Diceros bicornis minor: one gene and its partner. The protein of the gene in region 1 binds, or shares a complex with, the protein of each later gene. Links are inferred from orthologs where the notes say so. Each region holds a gene or a part of one and is shown in the gene's direction. Other genes may lie near its edges. The genes, in order: BICD2 and BICDL1.

Evidence for each region.
Region 2: BICD2 (region 1) and BICDL1 share a complex: the UniProt entries of both Homo sapiens proteins name them as parts of the tripartite complex. The link is inferred for Diceros bicornis minor from reciprocal best matches to the Homo sapiens genes BICD2 and BICDL1.

What each region holds. Positions count from the first base shown.
Region 1 is NC_080761.1:58,963,221-58,974,269, forward strand, and holds the start of BICD2 (protein bicaudal D homolog 2), read left to right. Parts: upstream 1-6,285; 5' UTR 6,286-6,340; coding exon 6,341-6,580; intron 6,581-11,049. UniProt on the Homo sapiens protein: Acts as an adapter protein linking the dynein motor complex to various cargos and converts dynein from a non-processive to a highly processive motor in the presence of dynactin.
Region 2 is NC_080774.1:16,565,178-16,575,675, forward strand, and holds the start of BICDL1 (BICD family-like cargo adapter 1), read left to right. Parts: upstream 1-5,965; 5' UTR 5,966-6,007; coding exon 6,008-6,442; intron 6,443-10,498. UniProt on the Homo sapiens protein: Acts as an adapter protein linking the dynein motor complex to various cargos and converts dynein from a non-processive to a highly processive motor in the presence of dynactin.

The sequences.
Region 1 (11,049 bases):
GCACAAATTTTAAATTTGATAAAGTCCAATTTATTTTTTCTTGTTTCTTTTCTTTTTTGCTTGCACTTTTGGTGTCATATCTAAGAAACCATTGCTTAATCCAAGGTCACATAGATTTATGCATGTGTTTTCTTCTAAGAGAATCATAGCTTTACCTCTTCCATTTAGGTCTTTGATCCATTTTGAGTTAATTTTGCGTCTGGTGGGAGGTGGGGTTCCAGCTTCATTCTTCTGTGTGTGGATTTCCCATTGTCCCAGGAGCATTTGTTGAAAATCAACTCACCATAAAGATGTGGGTTGATTGCTGGACTCTCGATTCTATTCCATTGATCAATTTCTGCAAAAAAAAAAAAAAAAACTCAGCTAGAATTTTAATAAAGATTGTGTTGAATACATATATTAATTTGGGGAGTGTGTCAAAGCTTCAAAGGGCGAAAGGAGCCACGTGGAGGAGGAGAGATTCTTGCAGACAATTTTTTTTTCTGGTGAGAAAGATTGGCACTGAGCTACCATCTTCCTCCATTTTGTATGTGGGACACCTCCACAGCATGGCTTGATGAGTGGTGTAGGTCCACACAAGGGATCCGAAACCGTGAACCCTGGGCCGCTGAAGCAGAGCGCATGACCCCAACCACTATGCTCCCAGGCTAGCCCCATTTGCAGATAATTTTGAGTGCTGGACAATTGCCCTGATTAAATGCCCCCTCCAGAGCTGTCCTTGCCACTGGACACTGAGGACAGGGGTGAGATCTTGGCAGGAAAGCCCAAGGACAAAGGTGTGCATTCATCGGTCAGAAGCTGGATTAGGAAAGGCACCCAAATAGCTCCCATCTCAGCAGCTATATCACTGAACAGCTACGGCAATATTTGTTCAACAACTTAACTAACTGAAACGTCCCCCTTCCAGGAACAAGAGATTGTGCAAGCCTCAAAGAAGATGGGTAAGGATGCTTATTTCTGCACTGGTGTGGTTGTAAAAGGCCAGAAACAACCTAAAAGTCCATCAGTGGAGTGGAAGTACAACACACCTATACCATGGAGTACTGTGCAGTCTTAAAAATATATGCTGACAAGAAACAGTGATAAGAAACACAAAGACCATCACACATCACATGCTGATGGGAAATAGTGTGTACCGTACCGCCATCACACATCACGTGCTGATGGGGATCAGTGTGTACAGTACATTATTTTTTTAAATGAAAAGAAATATATTCTTGTATTTCTCCTCGTGGGGGGGTTTGCTTTTCTTTGTATATATTTTTTATGTGCAAATATGTATAGGCACCGGCCTGCTGGCATAGTAGTTAAGTTCATGTGCTCCAGCAGCCCGTGGTTCCTCAGGTTCGGATCCCTAGGGCACACCTACACACGGCTTACCAAGCCACACTGTGGCAGCATCTCACATACAAAACAGAGGAAGATTGGCACAGTTGTTAGCTCAGCGACAATCTTCCTCACCAAAAAAAAAAAAAAGTATAATTTTAATATTATTAGTTTCTTTTATCTCTGACAGAAATGAGCACTTTGGGTTAAAATCTTCCTCATCAAATTTTGGCACACCATATTTTCTCAGTTATATTTCTCGTAACTATCATCAAATATCACAACCGAGAAGCTGGTATTGACACAAGCCACCCTTCTAATTCAGATCCCATGAGGTTTATGTGTACTCCGTGTGTGTGTGTCAGTTCTGTGCAATTTTATTGCCAGCGTATATTCATGTTACATATCACAGCAAGACACAGAACATTTCCATGACCATAAGGGTCCCTCATGTTGCTCTTTTATACCCTCATACACCCTCCCCAACCCAACCCCTAGCCACCACTAAAGTGTTCTCCATCTTTTTAATTTTGTTCTTTCTGAAAGGCCATATGAATGGAATCATACATTGCGTAACCTTTGGGTATTGGCTTCTTTCACTCAGTATGATTCTCTGGAGATTCACTCAGGTGGTTGTATGTATCCATAGTTCATTCTTTTTATTGCTGAGTAGTATTTCATGGTACGGCTGTACCAGTTGGTTCCACCATTAACCCAATGAAAGACTTTTTGGGTTGTTTCCGATTTGTAGGTTTTATGAATAAAGCTGCTATGAATATTTGTATACAGGCTTTTATGTGAACACAAGTTCTCATTTCTCTGAGATAAATGCCCAGGAACGAAACTACTGAGTCCTGTGGTGATGGCATGTTTGGTTTTATAAGAAAAAGCCAAAGTTTTCCAGAGTAGCTACACCATTTTACCTTCCCCAAAGAGTATATGAGCCATCCCATTTCTCCACATCTTCGTCAACATTTGTTGCTGTCACTTTTGTTGATGGTTTTTGTTTTGTTTTTTTCTATTTTAGCCATTCTGATAGGTGTTGTGAAAATTAGTAAAGGAAACCTCAACTAAAATTGGAAACAGGAAGGCCTGTAGGGGGAGCTTGACGCCCTATCAATTACTCCAAACAGGGAGAGGTACACTTGCAACTGGGGCAGGAAGGTGTTTTCTTTTCTACTTGATTACCCAGCCGGAGGAAGATTTCTCTCCCCACCCAGCAACAGCCCAGCCAGTGAGAGACTGTAGCAACCCAACCAATGCCTCTACACTTTGGACTCCCAGTTTCCTCCAATGGATTCTTCGTTTATTACAGCCCCTCCCAATTCCCCCTTTTCCTCTATAAAGCAGGCTCCTTCCTTGTTCTCTGGATTTGTCTATGGTCTGCCATAGCATGCACATCCCTAGTTGCAATTCTTTTGGTTGTTCCCAAATAAACTAATTTTGCGAGTAAAACAACTGGCCAATTTACTTTTTGTGTGTGAGGAAGATTAGCCCTGAGCTAACATCTGTTGCCAATCCTCCTCTTTTTTGCTGAGGAAGATCAGCCCTGGGCTAACATCCATGCTCGTCTTCCTCTACTTTATATGGGATGCCCCCACAGCATGGCTTGACAAGCGGTGCACTAGTGCACACTCGGGATCCAAACTCTCACACCCCGAGCTGCCAAAGCAGAGTATGCGCACTTAACCACTGCACCACCGGGCCAGACCCCCAATTTACTTTTTAAGTTGGTGGTGTGTAGTTGTACGTTTCTTTAAACTGAAATTTTAATCATGTGCATATTACCTACAAACAATAACAGTATTTTAAAAAATAAAGTCATGTAAGCAGACACATGACAGCAACCAATAAAAGGGATACCAGTGGATATCCCTTAAAATAAGGAGTAGCTTGAAGCACGAGGTCAGAATTCATGCCCATTGGTCAGGCACCTAAAAGTCAAGTGGCACTCAGATGGCAGCCTCACACATTCAGAGCAGACAGGTAAATGATTTTTTTTTTTTTTTTGTCTTTTCAGGCTTTATGAAGATAGTGCCATTGCAACATTAAAACATTTGAAAATTTTTATTAAAAAAATTCCAAAATAGACCCAAAAGTCAAGAGCACAGTGTAGCAGTGTGTGCCCCCACCCAGCTTCAACTACCATCAACAACTACTGCTTGTTTCATTATCTCCATCTCTTTTTTCTGGAGTATTTTAAAACAAACGCCAAACATCATGTTCTCCACCTGTAAGTACCTCAGGATGTATTTATATCCAAAAAGGCATTTTCTTACATAATAACACCTAAAATTAACAATAAATCCTTAATTAAAAAATGTTCAAGGAAAAATAATTCCCTACACTCCCACCACCATTCAAACCTCAGTGATTCCACTTCTCCTCCTCCAGCTCTGCAGGAGTGTGCAAGGCCCGGTTCCAGAGCTGCAAGCACAAGGACTCTCCTCTGTTTCCTCCTCTTAACATCGTGTCATGTTCAGTTCCATGTAGCCCCATCATCTTAACCAAGGGAGTTGGATGACTTTCATATACCTTTAAAAATACATTCCTTACAGACCACTTATCCCTTATGAATATTGATGCAAAAATCCTTAACAAAATACTAGCCAACCAAAATCTGCTGCATATTAAAAGGATTACATATGGTGACCAAATAGGATTTAATCCCAGAATGTAAGGATGGTTCAACATATGAAACTCAACCAATGTAATGTTGATGTGTTAATGTGGTCATTGACAGAATGAAGAGGGAAAAAACCATATGATGACCTCAATTGATGCAAAAAACCATTTGACAAAGTCTAACACTCTTTCATGATAAAAACACTCAACAAACTAGGAATAGAAGGTAACCTCCTCAACATGTAAAGGCCATACGTGAAAAACCCACAGTGAACATCATACTCAATGGTGAAAGATGGACAACTGTCCCCCTAAGATCAGGAACAAGACAAGGATGCCTGTTTCTGCCGCTTCTGTTCAACATAGTATTGAAAGTCCTAACCAGAGCAATTAGGCAAGAAAAAGAAATAAAAGGCATCCAAATTGGAAAGGGAAAAGTAAAATTATCTTTGTCCATAGATGACATGATCTCATATGTAGAAACCACTACAGATTTCATGGCAAAAAAACTATTAGAGCTAATAAACAGTTTATTCAGCAAGGTTGTAGGATACAAAATCAACACACAAAAATCAGTTGCATTTCTATACACTAATGATAATCTGAAAAGGAAATTAAGAAAACAATTCCAGTTACAATAGCTTTAAAAAAAAATAGGAATTAACCAAGGAGGGAAAAGACTTGTATATGGAAAATTGCAAAACATTGCTGAAAGAAATTAAAGACGACATACACATGGAAAGACATTCTGTATAAATGGGACTGGAAGACAATATTGTTAAGACGACACTACTACTCAAAAACTTCTACAGATTCAATGCAATCTCTATCAAGATCCCAACAGCACTTTTCGCCAAATAGAAAAACCCATCCTATAACTCATATGGAATCTCAAGGGACCCTGAATAGCCAATAGCTCACCTGGTCCTTCTCCCCTCTTTTCCGAAGGATCTCTCCCACTTAGGCTGAAGGGTGTGCCCAGGCCTGAGCGCTTCCCAGGACTCTGGACTTTCAGTGCTAAAACCAGGACAGTCCCAGGCAAACCACAGTGCTTGGACAACCTACTCCTACTGTGGTTGAACGCCTTAAAAATTATTTTTTAATTTCACAAGTAAAATTATGACACATTCTCCTCATACATTAAACGACTAAACGTAATCAGGCTCCTTGGAGAAATGGTGATTCCAGGTCTGGGATACTGAGAGTATAAGAAGATCCTGGAACAACCGGTGCCAAAGAGCAAGGAAGTGCTAACAAATTATGACCTGCTGAAGGACACGGAGCCAGCTTGGTGGAGCTCCCACCGGCTCAATCTGCCACCATTTGAGCATCTAAGTAAATACGGAGAGTAATGGGTGGTAACTCATGGAGTAAAATAAGAATCGATGGATCCACACCGCTAATGAGTGGACTGTCTTCCCTAGAACGCAAAGCTAGTAAGTGGAGAAGGAATGATGGAAATAGAAAAAAAAAATAGTATGGTAATAATTCATTTAGTGAAGAAACACCAACGAAACCTAGTGGGTTCAGGTCTGAGGCACGACAGGATATTTGCATCGTCTCAAAGCGTCCTCTCGCGGGGTATCAGCCGCGGGAAACCCAGCAGCGACCTCGGGGAAGCAATCGCGCCTCTGCCCGGACGCCGGACGCAGCACCACCTGGCAGAGTCCCGCTCCGGCCGCGAGGACACACGAGTGCACGGCCCGGCCTGCGCGCGACGCGGGGGGCGAGAGGACACGCGGCCCCGCGAGCGTGACCCGGGCCGGACGCCATGTGGTCCTGAGTCGGGTCCCGGGACCCGCAGACCCGCAGGGAAACACGCCGGGCGCCTGTCGCATCCCACTGGCGGTCGTCCCCTGCGTGCCCGTTTCCCCGGATGCGGGTCCGCGCGCGTCCCTACTAGAACCCCACACCGCGCTCGACCATCGCTCCACCCCTACGTCCTGGGCTCCGCCCGCCCCGCCGTCCGAGTCGTCGTGCGCAGGCCGCGGGCGCCGGAAGGTAGCAGTGTTTCCGGCTCTGCGACGGCAGCGGCGCGGGCCAATCACGGCCGGGGACGGGCAGGCGCGAGGCACGACGGGCCTTGTAGTCGGCGAGCAGGCGGGACTACAGCCCCCACAATGCCCCAGGGGCGGGGGCGGGGCGATAGTGATGGGAGGGGCTGCCCAGCGCGGGGCGCGGGCCAATCACGGGCTGGGACGGGCGGGCGCGGGGCACGACGGGCCGTGTAGTCGCGCGGACCGGACCGCCGCCCCCAGAGTGCCCCGCGCGACGGGGAGCGTACTGCGGCTGCGCGGCGGCGGCCCGGGCGCCGTCGGGCTGGGCGGCGGCGGGGACGGGAGCCGGCCGGAGCCTCGGTGCGAGCTGCGCGAGCCGGGCCGCGGCCACCATGTCGGCGCCGTCGGAGGAGGAGGAGTACGCGCGGCTGGTGATGGAGGCGCAGCCCGAGTGGCTGCGCGCCGAAGTGAAGCGGCTGTCGCACGAGCTGGCCGAGACCACGCGCGAGAAGATCCAGGCGGCCGAGTACGGGCTGGCGGTGCTGGAGGAGAAGCACCAGCTCAAGCTGCAGTTCGAGGAGCTCGAGGTGGACTACGAGGCCGTCCGCGGCGAGATGGAGCAGCTCAAGGAGGTGAGGGGCAGGGCCGGCCGGCCGGACCGCGACCCGACCCCGACCCCGGGCCGGGCCGACCCCCGTAGCTGGGCCGAGCGGACCCCTCGCCGGGCCAGGCTGGCCAGCACCGGGCGCCCGGGGCCGGCGTGCCCGGCGGGCCCAGCTGTGGTGTGCAGCGGGCCGTGTCTCCCGCTCCGGCAGGCCTCGGGGCGGCGGTGCGTCCTCTGCGGTGTTGGTCTCCCGGTGGGATGGGGGCGTGGGATGGGTGCAGGTCAAGGCTAGGCCACGGCCGCATCATTTCTAGCAGGTCACCTCTCCTCCTGGGTGCAGCTGCCTTCAGCGGCCTCGATGAGCGCCCTGAGGCCGGGAGGGGTGCTGGCCCTGCATGTGGCCGTCCCCGCTGGCTGGGGTCCCTCAGTCCCCTCCCCAGGCTCAGCGCTGACCTGGGCGCCCTCCCCACGCCCGTAATTCCTTCTCTGGGATCTGTACTTCTCCCACCCACCTCTTGTCCCTGCCGCCCTCCCAGGCCCTTCCTTCTGGGCGGGTGACAGGTCTGTGGGTGTTTGTCGGGAGGGAGCCTTGTGTGGTTTCCACTCCGCAATGGGGAGGTCCGACCCCCGGCTGCTGGAGAGGCTGGCGGGGAGAAAGCCAGGCAGTCCTTCCTGAAGGAGTTCTCCTGGGTGACTTAACCACCCGCTCTCCCAGTCCTCCTGACTCCCCCGCTCTGTGGTAGGGGGTGGGGAGGGAGAAGTGGCTTTCTGGGTGGAACACCCAGGTTTGGACCAAGGCCTAGCCCCTTGCTGGTGATGTGGCTGTGGGCAGGGGCCTTAGCTTCTCTTTCTGCGGCATTGCCCACGCAGAAAGGGTTGGTCTGAGGGTCGTGTGTTTGAAAAGGCCCAGTGTGGTGTCAGGCACGTGGCCTGTCGGTTTCTTTGACAGCGTGCCCCTTCTCCACCTGACTCTTCCCTTGTCCAGGTGGGCTCTTGGCCATTGGTCTCAGGATCCACCATACTTGCTGTTTCTCCAACCGCCCACCTTCCGGCAACTCTGCTGCTAGTGGCTTGGGGCAAGTGCCTGGATTGTTCAGAGCCTCCATTTCTCACTGGAGGACCAGTAGGAACCCATTATGATAGTAAAGAGGAGAGAAAGAATTAATCCTCATAGGTGCCTAAATCCATGCCTGGCAGAGCAGGTGCTCTGTTAGTATCAATAAATGATTTGGCGGGAGTGGGGGCAGGTGGTGGCTCATCTGACCCACGACCCACGGTCCTGTCATCTGTTAGCACGGATTGGCGCCTTCTCTGAGCCAGGCTCTGCTGGTGTTGGATCTACAAGAGGAGTGACATGTGGTCCCTCCTGCAAGGATGTGTGTGGGGTGGGAGGATGCACCCACTGCAGAGGGAGGCCAGGGAGCTGTGAGCATAGGAAATAGCGCACGCTCGCCCCATTCTGGTCTCCTGGGATGGGGCTCACTCTCCGCAGCTCAGAGGCAGGCCCAGCCTTCGCCTTCTCCTCAGGGTTTCTCCTGAGCCCCTGCTGGCAGCGTGCACAGTCCCCTTGTGCATTCACAAGGTCTCATCCATGTCTGCTGTAAGAAGGGACTGTTGCAGATGGAACTCATCCCAGTTTAGGGATCTTTCAGTTGTCAGCTTTTGACTTTCACAAACACAAACATTTTGGCCAATGCAAGAATCTTGGCTCGGTTTTGTGGGATGTGTTTGGAGGGTGGGTCACGGGGAACCAGGAGGAGGCTGGAGTTCTTCAGGCACCTGCTTGCTTAGTTTGGTGTCACCTCCTGGCTCCTGCCCGCACTGGCCGTATGGCCTTGGACAGGTTGCCCCACCGTCCTGACCGTCAGTTTTCCCTGTTGTAGGTGAGGTGAGAACGGTTCACCTAGAAGTTGCGGCAGAAGCTGGAGGAGGTTGCATCGTCTCGGTAGACGTTGTCTGAAAGCTCGCACCAGTTCACTCACACTCAGGCCAGCTCAGGCTCTTGTCAACCTATTGGGTTTTGGCCAGTGTCATGCTTGAAAATGTTAATTCTTATTTTGAAAACCAAGACTTAAGGAGATGATATTCATTGGGTCTTTTCTTTTTTGTCCTGTGAAGTGAACCATCTTTATTCTTTTAAAACTTTATTTCTTGAACTGAAATGGGTCCAGTTACTTACAGTTTGTGCTACAAATGGAGGTGCTGTGCTCCTGCCGGCATTTGTAGATAATGCCTTTTCTGAGGGAGGGATGCTGGCTGGCTGGTCCCGGTTGAGTGGGGTCGTGCTGAGGAAGGTCCAGTGGTGGGCCAGTGGGTGGCAGAGCTGGCACTGCAGCCTTTCTCCCTTGGTGAGTATGTGTACGTCCTTGTCTGTGTCCTGCCAACACCATGGTGTGTGTTTGAGGGGCACCCGCTGGCCCGTTTTGCCTAATCATTTTGCTGGTGATTGAGCCTGGCTTAATAAGGGCCCCCTCTGTCCCAGGTCCCACTGTGCCACTCCCCGCCATGGTGGGGAAGAAAATCGGGTGGACCTTGGTCAGCCACGTGGTATTTCCTGTCCTGAGTGGCCGTGGGACACCCCGCTCTGTGTCCTCAGGTGCACCTTCAAGGGAACAGGTGTGCTGGGGTGGCAGCTCTTGCCTACAGGGCTGAGGCAGGTCCCAGGAGTGGGTGGTCTTTGTGGGTGGGGATGTGAGGGCTGGAGAGCATGCCTCAGGCCAGGAGTGGGGTCCTGGTGCAGTCTCAGCCCCACCCTCTCTGGGCTCCCCGAGAAAGCAGGAAGACCGGGTCTGGACGCCCTCGATGCTGTCTGTGTCACCTCGGGAACTGGTCTGTGCACTTAGGTCTGGGGAAGCAGTGAGTGGAGTTTGGTGAGCTGCAAGTGTCACAGGCTGGGCATGGGGCCCGGCACCCGGCAAGTGCTGACTCAGTAAGTGTCTGCTGGCTGGTGTCGTCGGCTCCTTGCCTCCACCTAACTTGGGCCTGGATCCCCTCCCGGCCGTCCCGGCGGCCACCTGGCCTCTGTTCCTTGTCCTGGCGTGGTCTGGAGCAGCCCTGCTGCCTCTCTCAGAGGGCGGCATGCACTGCTTCCCCTCCTCTGTTCCCTATCCCTGCTGCCTTTGCTGTTGTCACCCTTCTCCTGCCAGAGCTTCAAGGCCTGGACGCTTCTGTGAGCCTCCTCTGCCGCCTGTGGACTTGCCTGAGCCCAGCACCCAACTCCGGGGTGTCCCTTCCTTCCTGCAGGATGAAGGGCTGGGGCAGAGCTGGTGGGAGCAGCTGCTCTGTTCCCTTCGCTCCCTCCCTCTCCTCCCTCTTGTGATCTTCTCTCCCAGGGGATGAGGAAGCAGAGCTGGGGGTGTGTGGGAGTGACTGAGGAGGGCCCAGAGCCCAGACCAAGTTGGAAGGGGTCCTCGGGCACCAGGTTCTCATCCAAGTCCTTGTGTGGAAGTCATGGCTATGAGCCCGTTGAGTCCCACGGCCTCACCCCTGTAGGTGACCTGCTCCTGCTGTAGCCTCCCCACGCCCACTGACTCCTCCAGTCCACACACCAGCCCTCAGGGTCACCACCCCACCGATGCAGGCCAGGCACCTCACGCTTGACTTTTCTTTTTCTTTTTTAAAAAATTGGCGGAGTGCTGCCTTCAGCTGGTGCAAGGCCTGGCTTTTGCATTGTTGGGTCGTTGCCGCCCTCCAGTTCATTTGTTAGACCAGCCTTTGTTGTGTCTCCTCTGCCCGCCCAGGGGCTCATGGTCACCCATCCAGTGTGTCCTGACTGGGACGCCGAGAGGTGCATAGCTGTCTCTGAACCAGGAGGGAGAAGCTGTCCTGTCCCCGTTCCACAGGTGGAAATGCCAGGTCTCAGAGTGAGGGCTGTGTGTCAGCAAGGCATGATGTGACCCTGAGCAGTCCCCTCCCTGAAGCCCTGGCAGTGGAGCAGCTTCTCCCCTGGTGATGGCGTCAGGGTGGCCTGGGACCCCACTCTGCAGGCCCCTGTCATTGCTCCCTGGGCCGCCTGGGTGCTCTCCTCCCTCCTTCCCCTCACACCCTGTCTGGCATGCACTGCAGAGATCCCGGCTTGTCCCCCAGCCTGAGGGATTCCCTGGATGGTCAGAGAGGACACTGACCCCCGGAACGGGGTGCGCCAGGCGGGCTGTCTACAGCTGTGAACCTGCGGCCCTGCCTGCTGTCACCCGGTCGCCTGGTGCAGAGGCTGAGATTATGGACATTCCACCCAGTCAGGCGAGTGCAGACTCACGCAGCAGCTACGAGCAAGTCTGTGTTCTCGCCAGCACAGTGTCCTCCGACGGTCATCGTGGCCAGTGGTGAGGAGAAGTGCTGTCGCGTCCCTCGGGTCTGATTGATTTCTTCTTCTGTGAAGCAGTCTGTTCCGCCATAGCACTTGTTTTGAAGACGGGAGTTTGTTCCAGAGTGGTTGATGTTGGAGGGAACAGCGTGAGCATGAGAATTTAGCATTTGCTTCTGTGCCATTTAGTTCCC
Region 2 (10,498 bases), on another chromosome or scaffold:
CCCAGATCATCACTCTCAATAACTCCACTATACTCCAACTTTAGTCATTTGCATACCATCACCATGATTTTGCCGTACCCAAAGCCACCTATATTCTTTTTTATTATTTTTATTTGAGTTGACTCATTTTTTAACTTAATACATTTATTTTGAAAGGAAACAGGCATATAAGACAGAAGAAGACAGACGTAAAAGTTAGGAAAGATCATGGTGTCAGAGGGAGAGATCTGTGCTCAGTTATTTTACATATTTATTTATTTATCAAACACCCATATTGTACCTACCATGTGCCAGGCACCATTTTAAGTGCTTTACATATATGAAATCTTTTGGGCTTAATAATGACCTTATTAGGTAAGTACTACTATTATCCTCATTTTATGAATGAGGATACTGAGGCATACACGTCTAAGATGACCCAACTGATAAGTGGCAGCACTGGGATTCCAGCCCAGGGAGTCTGGCTCCAGAGTCCATGCTCTTAATCAGTAAGGGCAAAATCTGGAAATGCCTGATGAGAAGGAGCTGAAACATGAGTCTGGAGCTGAAAACTCCAAAGTATTTCCTGAATAGTCAGGAAATAATGAGCAGAGGTAAAAATGCAGCTAAGACCTGGGGTGTTAAGCTAATCCTTGGGAGAGGCGAACTCTCACCTGGAAGAGAAAAGTTGGGCAGGGATGGTGATGGGAAGGGACTGGATCTGGGGGAGAGGGAACCAGGGAGATGAGGCTTTGACTAAGTAAAGAGCGCCAGGCCGAGAGAAACAAAAAGCTTGGCAGGGTGGGGAAATAAGGAGGGTGGAGGTGGAAATTCAGGCAGAAAGGTGATCTGAGAAAAGGTAAAAGGGAGTGTGGGGTGGAAGTAAAGGCCCCAGCGAGGGGTGGGAGGGGGGTGAGGGGGAATGAGTGAGGGAGCTGTCAAGGTGAGCACCTAGAAATGGGAGGAGTTGCGGCAATTTAGGTGGGGCTGGGAAGGGGTGACAGCAGGGCAAGCTGGGGCATCATGATGGGTAGCAGAGAAAGCACATTCCCACACCAGGCAGGGCAAGGTGTCTGCTAAAGACTGATGCTGGTGAGCACCAGCCACTGAACTTAATGTTTTTTCCCTTAAAAATCAACTTAAGAATCACTAGGGGTAAATACACCACATTTTGCAAAATGTTGAATCAATTCATCTCCAAAAAACATAAAAAGCTTTTGGGTAACATTTGAGGCATTTTTGAGACTTTTATGTTCCCACGACTAGTTCATAAATAAAATATATAACTTAAAAAATGCACACACACTTGTAATTGCTGAATGAAAATACCAAGCGTAGAACTGCTTTATCACGTTTTGCCAGCTCCTCATGTGTCTTCAACACTCGACTTTTCAAAAACAAATTTTCTGGAAAATGTTTTGTCTTTTACACTTTCCAGCTTTGCAGATCAAGATGTTAATAAAAATAAACAACTTGGGGAAATTCGATGAGTGTTGTCATATTTGGAAATATTGGGATTTCTAAGAAAGAAAATTTCATGTTTTGCCCTTAATAATGTAACAGCACTTACGTGGAAATCCATCCATGATATGTTAAGATGGGTCATACCCAAGTTCACCAGAATATCCAGGTACCAAAAGTAACACTAATGCAAATATATTTAAAGGAATATCTGAATGATAAAAATGTGAAGTGAGGCATGGTAACTAAAAGCAAGCATTTTAGAGTCATACAGGCCTAAAATACTAGCATCTTAGTATCATGTAGTGGTATATATTGGTGTTACATAGTAGCATTATAGAGTTATTGTGAGGATTAAATGAAATGTCATATAAAGGATTTAAGGAATGTAGTGCTAAATATATTTTACCTACTTTGTTCCAGTGTGAAGCAGAATAAACTAAATAAGTTTTAGAAGACTGAGGGTTTTCATAACTTTGCTTTGATGAGTTTTCAATCCTGGCACTAATTTCCTTGTATGCAAGAACTTGTTCTTTCTTCTTAGTGCAAGACTGAGCTAATAGTCTTGAGTGGCTCTAAATCAACAGTTCTCAAAGTGTGGTTCACCAACTCCTGAAGGTCCCAAAGACCTTTTCAGGGGGGCCTACGAAGTAAACATTATTTTCATAATAATTGCAATGATAGTGATTCTAATTTTATTAATAATAGTAAAACTAATTACATAATAATACTAATTGTCTAATAGTATTTTCATTTTTCACTGTGTTGACATTTGCACTGATGGTGCAAAAGCAATGGCGGGTAATACTACTGATACCTTAGCAGGAATCAAGGCCGTGGTACTCAAGTGTACTGGTAGACATGTTATTCTTCACTACCATGTACTCACAGGAAGAAAAAATGTAGTTTCACCTAAGAACGTCCCTGATGAAGCAGTACTTGTATTAAATCCTGTACTTATATTAAATGAGAGGTATCCATAAAGCACTTCTGCTGCATATCTAACTACAATAGTTGTGTTGAGATAAAGCACTTGTACCATCATTTGAGTTGTGAGCTGAACTAGCCACGTTTTTCATGGAACACCATTTTTCCTTGAATGAATGACTGACAAACGATGGTATTCAGATTTGGGTATTTGACAGACATTTTCTCAAAAATTAATGAAGCAAGTCTGTCACTTCAGGGAAAACAGACAATATTATTACAAATGATAAAATTGGAGCTTTCAAGTAGGAATAAGAATTTTGGAAAATTCATATCCACCTCAATGAGCTTGATAGCTTGCTAATACTTACTTTTCTGATGAGATCAGAGTGATTTTTCAATATATAGTATAATTACATGTGACAATATTTGGAAGATCTGCACGACTCAGTGAACAAATATTTTCCAAATGACCAATACATGCTGTTACAGAATCAATCACATGTAGGTACAAGATCCATTCAAAGTGGAAGATAGATCAATGGATTTCCTTGATATAGTTTTGGATTCCACATTGCAACTAACCTTTAAGAAGCTATCACTTGTCAAATTTTGGTGTAATATCAAAGAAAAATATCCACAATGATCTGAAAAGGCTATTAAAATAATTCCTCCTTTTCCCAACTACATCTTTGTGAGACCAGATTTTCTTCATCAATCATTTTGTTTCAATCAAAATGAAATATCACATTCAATGGAGACACAGATACAAAAATCCAGTTTTCTACTATCAAGCCAATCATCAAGGAGATTTGCAAAAATGAAAAATAATGCCACTCCTCTCACTCATTTTTTTTTACTTGGGATTATATAGTTATTTTTCATTAAAATGTATCGTGTTAAAATGTAATAGGTTTATTATAAGCATTTTAAATTTTTGTTTTAATTTTTAAATATCAATATGTAAACCTATATAAACTAAAGGTTTTTGAGATCATCAATAATTTTTAAGAGTATAAAGAGGTTCTGAGACCAAAAAGTTACGAACCACTATTCTAAATAGTTCTCCAAACTTGAACTGGTCTCCTTCGACCATTCACAGGAAGATAGCGCTTAGGGCCAAACCTACAGTAGAAAACAATCACTTCCTAGTCAGGTTAGGCAGGAACATTGTGAGGAAGGATCTTCAGGAGCTAGAGTTAGCACTGTGGAGAGTTCATTCTAACTAAGGTAAATCTAATAGAGTAGGACCATTGAGTTCAACAAAGGCAAGCCAAAGATCTTTTAGGAAAGACAGGCTGCAAGTCTGCATCAAGGAAAAATAAATAGCTGAAATCCCTTTTGATTAGGAATTGTTTGCTCTTGATATGTGTCTCTATAAATAGATTAGGGAGAAACTTGTCCTTTCCTAATCAAAAGAGAGTTGCAATTGGATTTCACCATGGGCCCACAATTTCTGCTCAAGAGGGCATAATATAGTGTTAGAACAGTTCATGACTGAAATGATACCACTGTCAACTTCCAAAATCTAGCTCTAAGATTGATGTAGGAACCCCTCCGTGGTCTGTCTCCTTTCCAATCAACAAGCAAACGAAGCCAGCCCTGAGGCTCAAGCCCTTTCCAATTCTCACCTTTCAGACTGAGGGTAGAAAGTGATGTATATACCCGAATATTGTTTAAGTTCTGAATTTAATAAGGAATAAAAGCCATGAGAAACCATTTGGCCCATTTCAGCCTCTTGGTGTCCTGAAATTTCCATCTCACTGTGATGAAAAGAATAAAGGTATGATTTAACTAAAAAGCAGGTTGCTGTCCAAAAGAAAAGGGAAAGAATTAGGGAGCAATTCTAGCTTCAGATGGGATTGTTTCTGAAAATAGGAGACAGAGCATCACCAATGAGGTCAAAGCAAGAACTGACAGGAATCACCCAGTAGGCTCTTCAATCTTTTGATCATTGCAGGAAGCTTTCCTGAAACTACCTTCGATATCCACCCAGGTCATCTCCCTCACAAATTACCATTTATCTTCCTCAAGACTTATATGTAAGGAAAGTAAGGATAACGATTTACATGAACCCTGGAGTCAGCCTGCCTGGATCTGATCTTGTATCTCTGGAGGCTCCAATTTCCTACTCTGTAAAATGGGGAGAGTCACAGTACTTACTTTATAAGATTCTTGTGAGGATTATCTAAGCTAATGCATATAAAGCACTTAACACAAGACATAGTACATACTAACTGCCTAATAAATGGAAGTTATTATTAGGGAGAGTCTTTGCTTCGTATTTCCATCTGTGAGCAGTTTTTTCCGTTATTTCTCAACATAACCTCTTTCTTTCGGGGCTGTAGATCTCCGAGGCATCTGGTCCCTCATATCCCTGAGTCATCATCATTAAGACGCCGGGTTTCTGAAGTCATCCCTTCTCCTACTGCTCTCTAGGGCTCCCTCTCCTGACTGCTTAGCTCTCGTGGGGGCCAGACCCAAATTCCATGACTATGAGTCTCTCTTGGGGCTTGGCCACCCGTCTTGGAGGAATGTCCCCAGTACCCTTGGAGACCACCTAAAAGGCGACGACGAAACTGAGCCGCAACAGACTCCGAGAAACGCCCAGCACAGGAGAGCGAGGCGGGGGGGGGGGTCGCGCCCGGAGGTGAGAACGAGGCGGGAGGCGGGGCGGTGCACCAAGGTGGGAACGAGGCCGGGGGCGGGGCCGCGCTCCGAGGTGTTCGTGCTGGGGGCGGGGCCACACCCCGCCGGGGGCGCGAGGCCGGGGGCGTGGCCGCGCCGGGGGGAGCAGCCCGACCGTTACGGACGCGCCAGCCGCCTCCGCAGGCGGTGCGCGCGCAGCCGCCGCCAGGCTTGAGGCAGCGCAGGGGTTAAGGCCGCCGGCGCCACCTGGGCGCCGCTGAGGAGACCCGCGAGCCGGCGAATCCCGCGCGGGCGCGGCGAACAGGTGCCCGCGCGCGTCAGGCGCCGGCAAGGGGCGGGGAGAGGGGGCGCGGCCGGAAGCCCGGGGCGGGGTGCGGCCGGCCGGGTGAACGGGAGGAGCCGAGGGAGGCAGGAAGGAGCTCGCCGGGCTGCGCGGCGCGCGATGTGGAGCCGCCGCCTCGGCGCTTGCAGCAGCAGCCGCCGCCGCCGCCGCTGCTGCCGCTGGGGCTGCCGCCGAGCCGAGGGACATGGAGCGCGGCTGCAGAGAGCGGCCGCCGGCAGCAGCAGCAGCGAGCGTCGCACCGACAGCGGAGCGCAGCCCGCCCCGTGAGGCGCTGCCGGGCCGGCGGCGGCAGCGGCAGCAGCAGCAGCAGCAACAGGGCGGCTAAAAACCCGGCGGCGGCGTTCCCCCTTGCCGCCTCTCCTCCCGCTTCGCGGCCCCTCAGCCTTCCCTTCCTCCGCCTTCCCTCTGCCACCCCCTCCTCCTCCCCAGCGCGCGCCGAGCAGCTGAGCGGGGGCGGGGGCGCGTGCCGCGGCGCGGGGGAGGGGCGGCCGGCGCGCGCCGCGCCCAGGGCTCCGGGGGCCCCGGGGGGCGCGTGCCGCGGCGCGAGGCGAGGCGCGGGGCGCGGGGCAGCGCGGCGGGGCCCCTCCCCCCTGCAGCCTGGCGCGCGCCGGCCGGGCCGCACCGCTGCGGGCTCCGCGCGCGCGGGCCATGTCCGCCTTCTGCCTGGGCTTGGCCGGCCGCGCTTCAGCACCCGCTGAGCCGGACAGCGCCTGCTGCATGGAGCTGCCCGCCGCGGCCGCGGACGCAGTCGGGAGTCCAGCCGCCGCCGCCGCCGCCCTCATCTCCTTCACCGGGGGCCCCGGGGAGCTGGAACTGGCGTTAGAGGAGGAGCTGGCGCTGCTGGCGACCGGGGAACGGCCGTCCGACCCCGGGGAGCATCCTCAGGCCGAGCCCGGGCCTCCGGCCGAGGGGACCGGACCGCAGCCGCCCCCCGCCCAGGATCCCGAGCTGCTGTCGGTGATCCGGCAGAAGGAGAAGGATCTGGTGTTGGCGGCCCGGCTGGGCAAGGCGCTGCTCGAGAGGAACCAGGACATGAGCCGGCAGTACGAGCAGATGCACAAGGAGCTGACGGATAAGCTGGAGGTGAGGACGTCCCTTCTGGGATGGGTAGGAAGCAGAGGGAGCCCAGGCACCCCCCGCCCGGCCCTGGGCAGCTTCGGGAGCCACCCACCCCACCCCTTCCTTCTTTGCTCACCCTCCCTCACAGAAAACCGCCTAGGAAGGGGGTAGAATGGAGGGTTTCGGATTATCAGACCAAGGCATCCATTGAACCCACCTGACTTTCTCACCCTGCTCGCAGGAAATGGGTCCATGCACACCTCCAAGCGCTGTGGGCCGTTCTATATATGTACTGTACACAGCATCTAAAATAGAGCTTACAGTATGACTAATTTATACAGCACTGAGGTGCTGTGTGCACGCAGAGAAATGAGAACGTCGGAAAGCATTTAAAATACACTCCCGGTTTTTGGAGTGGTTAATCTCTAATCAGGGTGTTAGCCTGGAGCTTTCCAGTTCTGGCGTTAAGGCTTCCAGATGCCCTTGTCTTAACTTCCCGGGAGCTCAGAGTTGTGGGAAACAAGTGCCTCTAAAGGAGCTTTATGTACCCTTCAAATACTCAGGGATTAGGAAATGTGGTTCCATTGCAGAAATCAGGCGAGCCTGGGCTCAGCATGTGACCATTGGTAGTGGATTTAATTTGGACCCCAGTATTCATGTGTATTTAAACAGTATTTTTCTGTGTTCTGGGCCTCACACATGCAACTGGATGGCCAAATGCAACCTATGAGAACCATGTTACTTCATTATTATAAATACCCTTTAAAGTATTGTAAGATTTCTGCTGATTCTCTGGACCAAAGTCTTTTGGAGCTATCCCTGTTTGTTCTCTTGCCCTTAACTAGAAGGGGCCTTGAAAGTAGTACGGAATGCCGCATATTTAAAAATTAGGGAGATTTTAAAAAGGAGAGGAGAGTATGGCAGTGGAGACGAGCTTATCCTTTTCTGCCTGTGCGTTTACTATTGTTACCCAGTTTGGTTGCAAACAGTTCTTTTTATTCTTAGTTACAAGAGAATAGTACAGTCCTGAATGACATCTGAAATTGACCCTAGTCTGGTACCATATCACTGCTACTGGTTGAACTGTCAGAATGTAGATTCAGAAACTTTTCTAGAATAAGAGTTAAGTGTGTCTGTAGTCTAACATATCAAAAGTGAATCAGAGAGAAAAAAGGAAACCAGTGAGTGCCCTGTAGTTCAGTTGGCCTGTTCACTAGGTCTGCCAGTCGATGAACTCCCGAGATACCTCTTTGAAAAGTGGTTTGTGAAACCTATGGGTAGACTGCCAAAAAGCAACCCAATGAATTGAACTGTTTAATTTTCATTTGAAGTGGAGGTCTTGAAATGAAAGGGTATCTTTTTTTCAAAAAGAGATTCGATTACACGACTCTATATAGAAGTACGACTGCAGAGATTTATACGTGTGATTTAAATTCCTTCAGTGAGGGACGTGATTGAAGAGACACATAACTTGAAAGGAACATCATATCAGTCAGTTTGATTAGTGACAGCTGTCAGAATAATCCTGAATATGCAATTACACACATCCTGGGTTCCATGTGGAGCCTTTATACATTTCTTCAACAGAGGAAAAAGATTTCAAAATTCTATAACAAGAAAGTTTCTGTTATTAAAAAGTAAGTTTCCTTTGACTTTTTGTCTTGAGTTAATAGACAATAATAAAATAGTTTAAAACTCTTATTTTTTTAAATCTTCACACCTCAACAGGTCAGCATATGAACTCTGGTGTTAAAAGTTTATTTTTGATTTCTGGAGGTTTGTTGCCCAACAGTGTGAAGGTACTTAACACTACTGAACTGTACACTTAAAAATGGTTAAGATGGTAAATTTTATGTATACTTTACCACAATTAAAAAACTAACATTTTTTAAAGGTTATTTTTAAAAAGTCAAGTATTGACCATTATTGAAGCTGAGTGATGGGGGGATTCAGTTATACTATTTCTTCTAGGTGTATTTAAAAATTATCATAAAAAATTTTTAGGTTTTTTTTAAACATACATTTAAAAATATCTTACAAAGATAATGTCATTAGCTCCTTGTTAATTCTTTTAGTGTTATTATTAGAGTGCCAAACCTGATTAATGGGATATTTCAGTTAATACCTGCAAGTGAATTTCCCCCACCATATTTTTTTTTTTTAATTTTTATTTATTTATTTTTCCCCAAAGCCCCAGTAGATAGTTGTATGTCATAGCTGCACATCCTTCTAGTTGCTGTATGTGGGACACGGCCTCAGCATGGCGGGAGAAGCAGTGCGTGGGTGCGGGCCCGGGATCCCAACTGGGCCGCCAGTAGCGGAGCTCCCGCACTTAACCGCTAAGCCACGAGGCCAGCCCTCCCCCACCATATATTTTTTAAGCAGCCTAGATTTTAGAATGTCTGTTTAGACAAAATACTTTCTCGAGTTTAACACAGCCACGCTGATATATTTTCAATTAAATTAAACATTTAGGAGTAGAGAACCAGCCCTTACTTTAAAAAGCGTTTGTAATTTTCCACAAACTGTCAGCCAGTGGAGTCAAACACATTTTCTCACAGGTTGGTTTGAAAGATAAATGCGTGAGTGGAGTCTGAGAGAATGTTGGTTTGACTATTAAATAATGAGACTGGTTTTGTTTTAGTCCTATCTGCTTCCTTACTACTACAAAATTGGCACCTTTCTGGGGCCGGCCCGGTGGCGCAAGTGGTTAAGTGCTCGAGCTCCGCTGTGGTGGCCCAGGGTTCGCCGGCCCGGATCCCGGGTGCACACCGACATACTGCTTGTCAAGCCATGCTGTGGCAGCATCCCATATAAAGTGGAGGAAGATGGGCGCGGATGTTGGCCCAGGGCTGGTCCTCCTCAGCAAAAAGAGGAGGATTGGCAGATGTTAGCTCAGGGCTGATCTTCCTCACAAAAAAAAAAAAAAAAAAATTGGCACCTGTCTAACTTCAGGACCAATTAGCCATTTTCAAGATCTATATTTCTACCTATTCATTAGTTAATATTGAATATCTTTCCAGGTCTGTGTGCCAAACCCAAGATTTTGTTTTATCGTTTAAAACATAAAGTACTTGATCTTACACTGCTTTCTCATTCGAGGCACACTCTTTAAAGTCTTTAATGGTTTAAAGGTTAACACAGAAGTTTGTTAGCTATACATCTCTTAAAATGAAGAGGGCTAAAGTGAAGATTCAGTTTAATTTGAAAGACTGTAAGGTTTTGGTCATTTTTTTCCACCCTTAAATTGACTGTGTTGTATTTTATTCATTCACTGAATCAGATTTTTATATGCTTAAAGTTCTAAACACATTTTTAAAAATTTATTTCTTCTGCATCTACAGTTAGCCCTTTTGCTTTTAAAACTTATATCCAGCCAGGTCCTTAGTTTTTTCCCCAGAATATGAAATAAGACAATAACTTGCATTTATACACTTTTTTTCTTTAGAGATTAAATATTTATTTAGTTTTAAAAATTATTGTTTTTAATGTACAGGATCCCCTTTTTTCCCATTCCAGCTAAGAGGGAGTTATCTCTTACTGCAGAGATAGTCTTTTTCCTCAATTACATTTTCTTCCCCCTTTCGTAGGCCAATTCTCATGATTCTGGTACCATTTTTTGAAGAGGGCAGAACAAGTAAGATGAAAATGATTACATAGTGGGAGTCACTCGTAGATTTAGGGAAACAAACCCAGAAGTCCTTATATGCATTCAGTGCTCAGTCCACTTAAAAAATAGTGCTTTTTCTTTGTATTTTTCCAGAACTGTATGCTGGATTTATGAGAATGGTGTTGCTTTTTGGTTCTTTGCAGAAATCTATATTTTTAACAACCAATTTTAGGTAGGCTAATGATATTAACTTTTGTGTTTTCAGAGTTTTAAATAAACTTTATTTTTTTAGAATGGTTTTAGATTTACAGAAAAGTTGAAAGATGGCAGAGAGTTTCCATATGCCCTGCACCGTTTCCTCTGTTATTAACATCTTACATTAATGTGGTACGCTTGCCATAATTAGGGAACCAATATTGATACAATTATTATTAACTAAAGTCCTTAGTTTATTCAGATTTCCTTAGCCT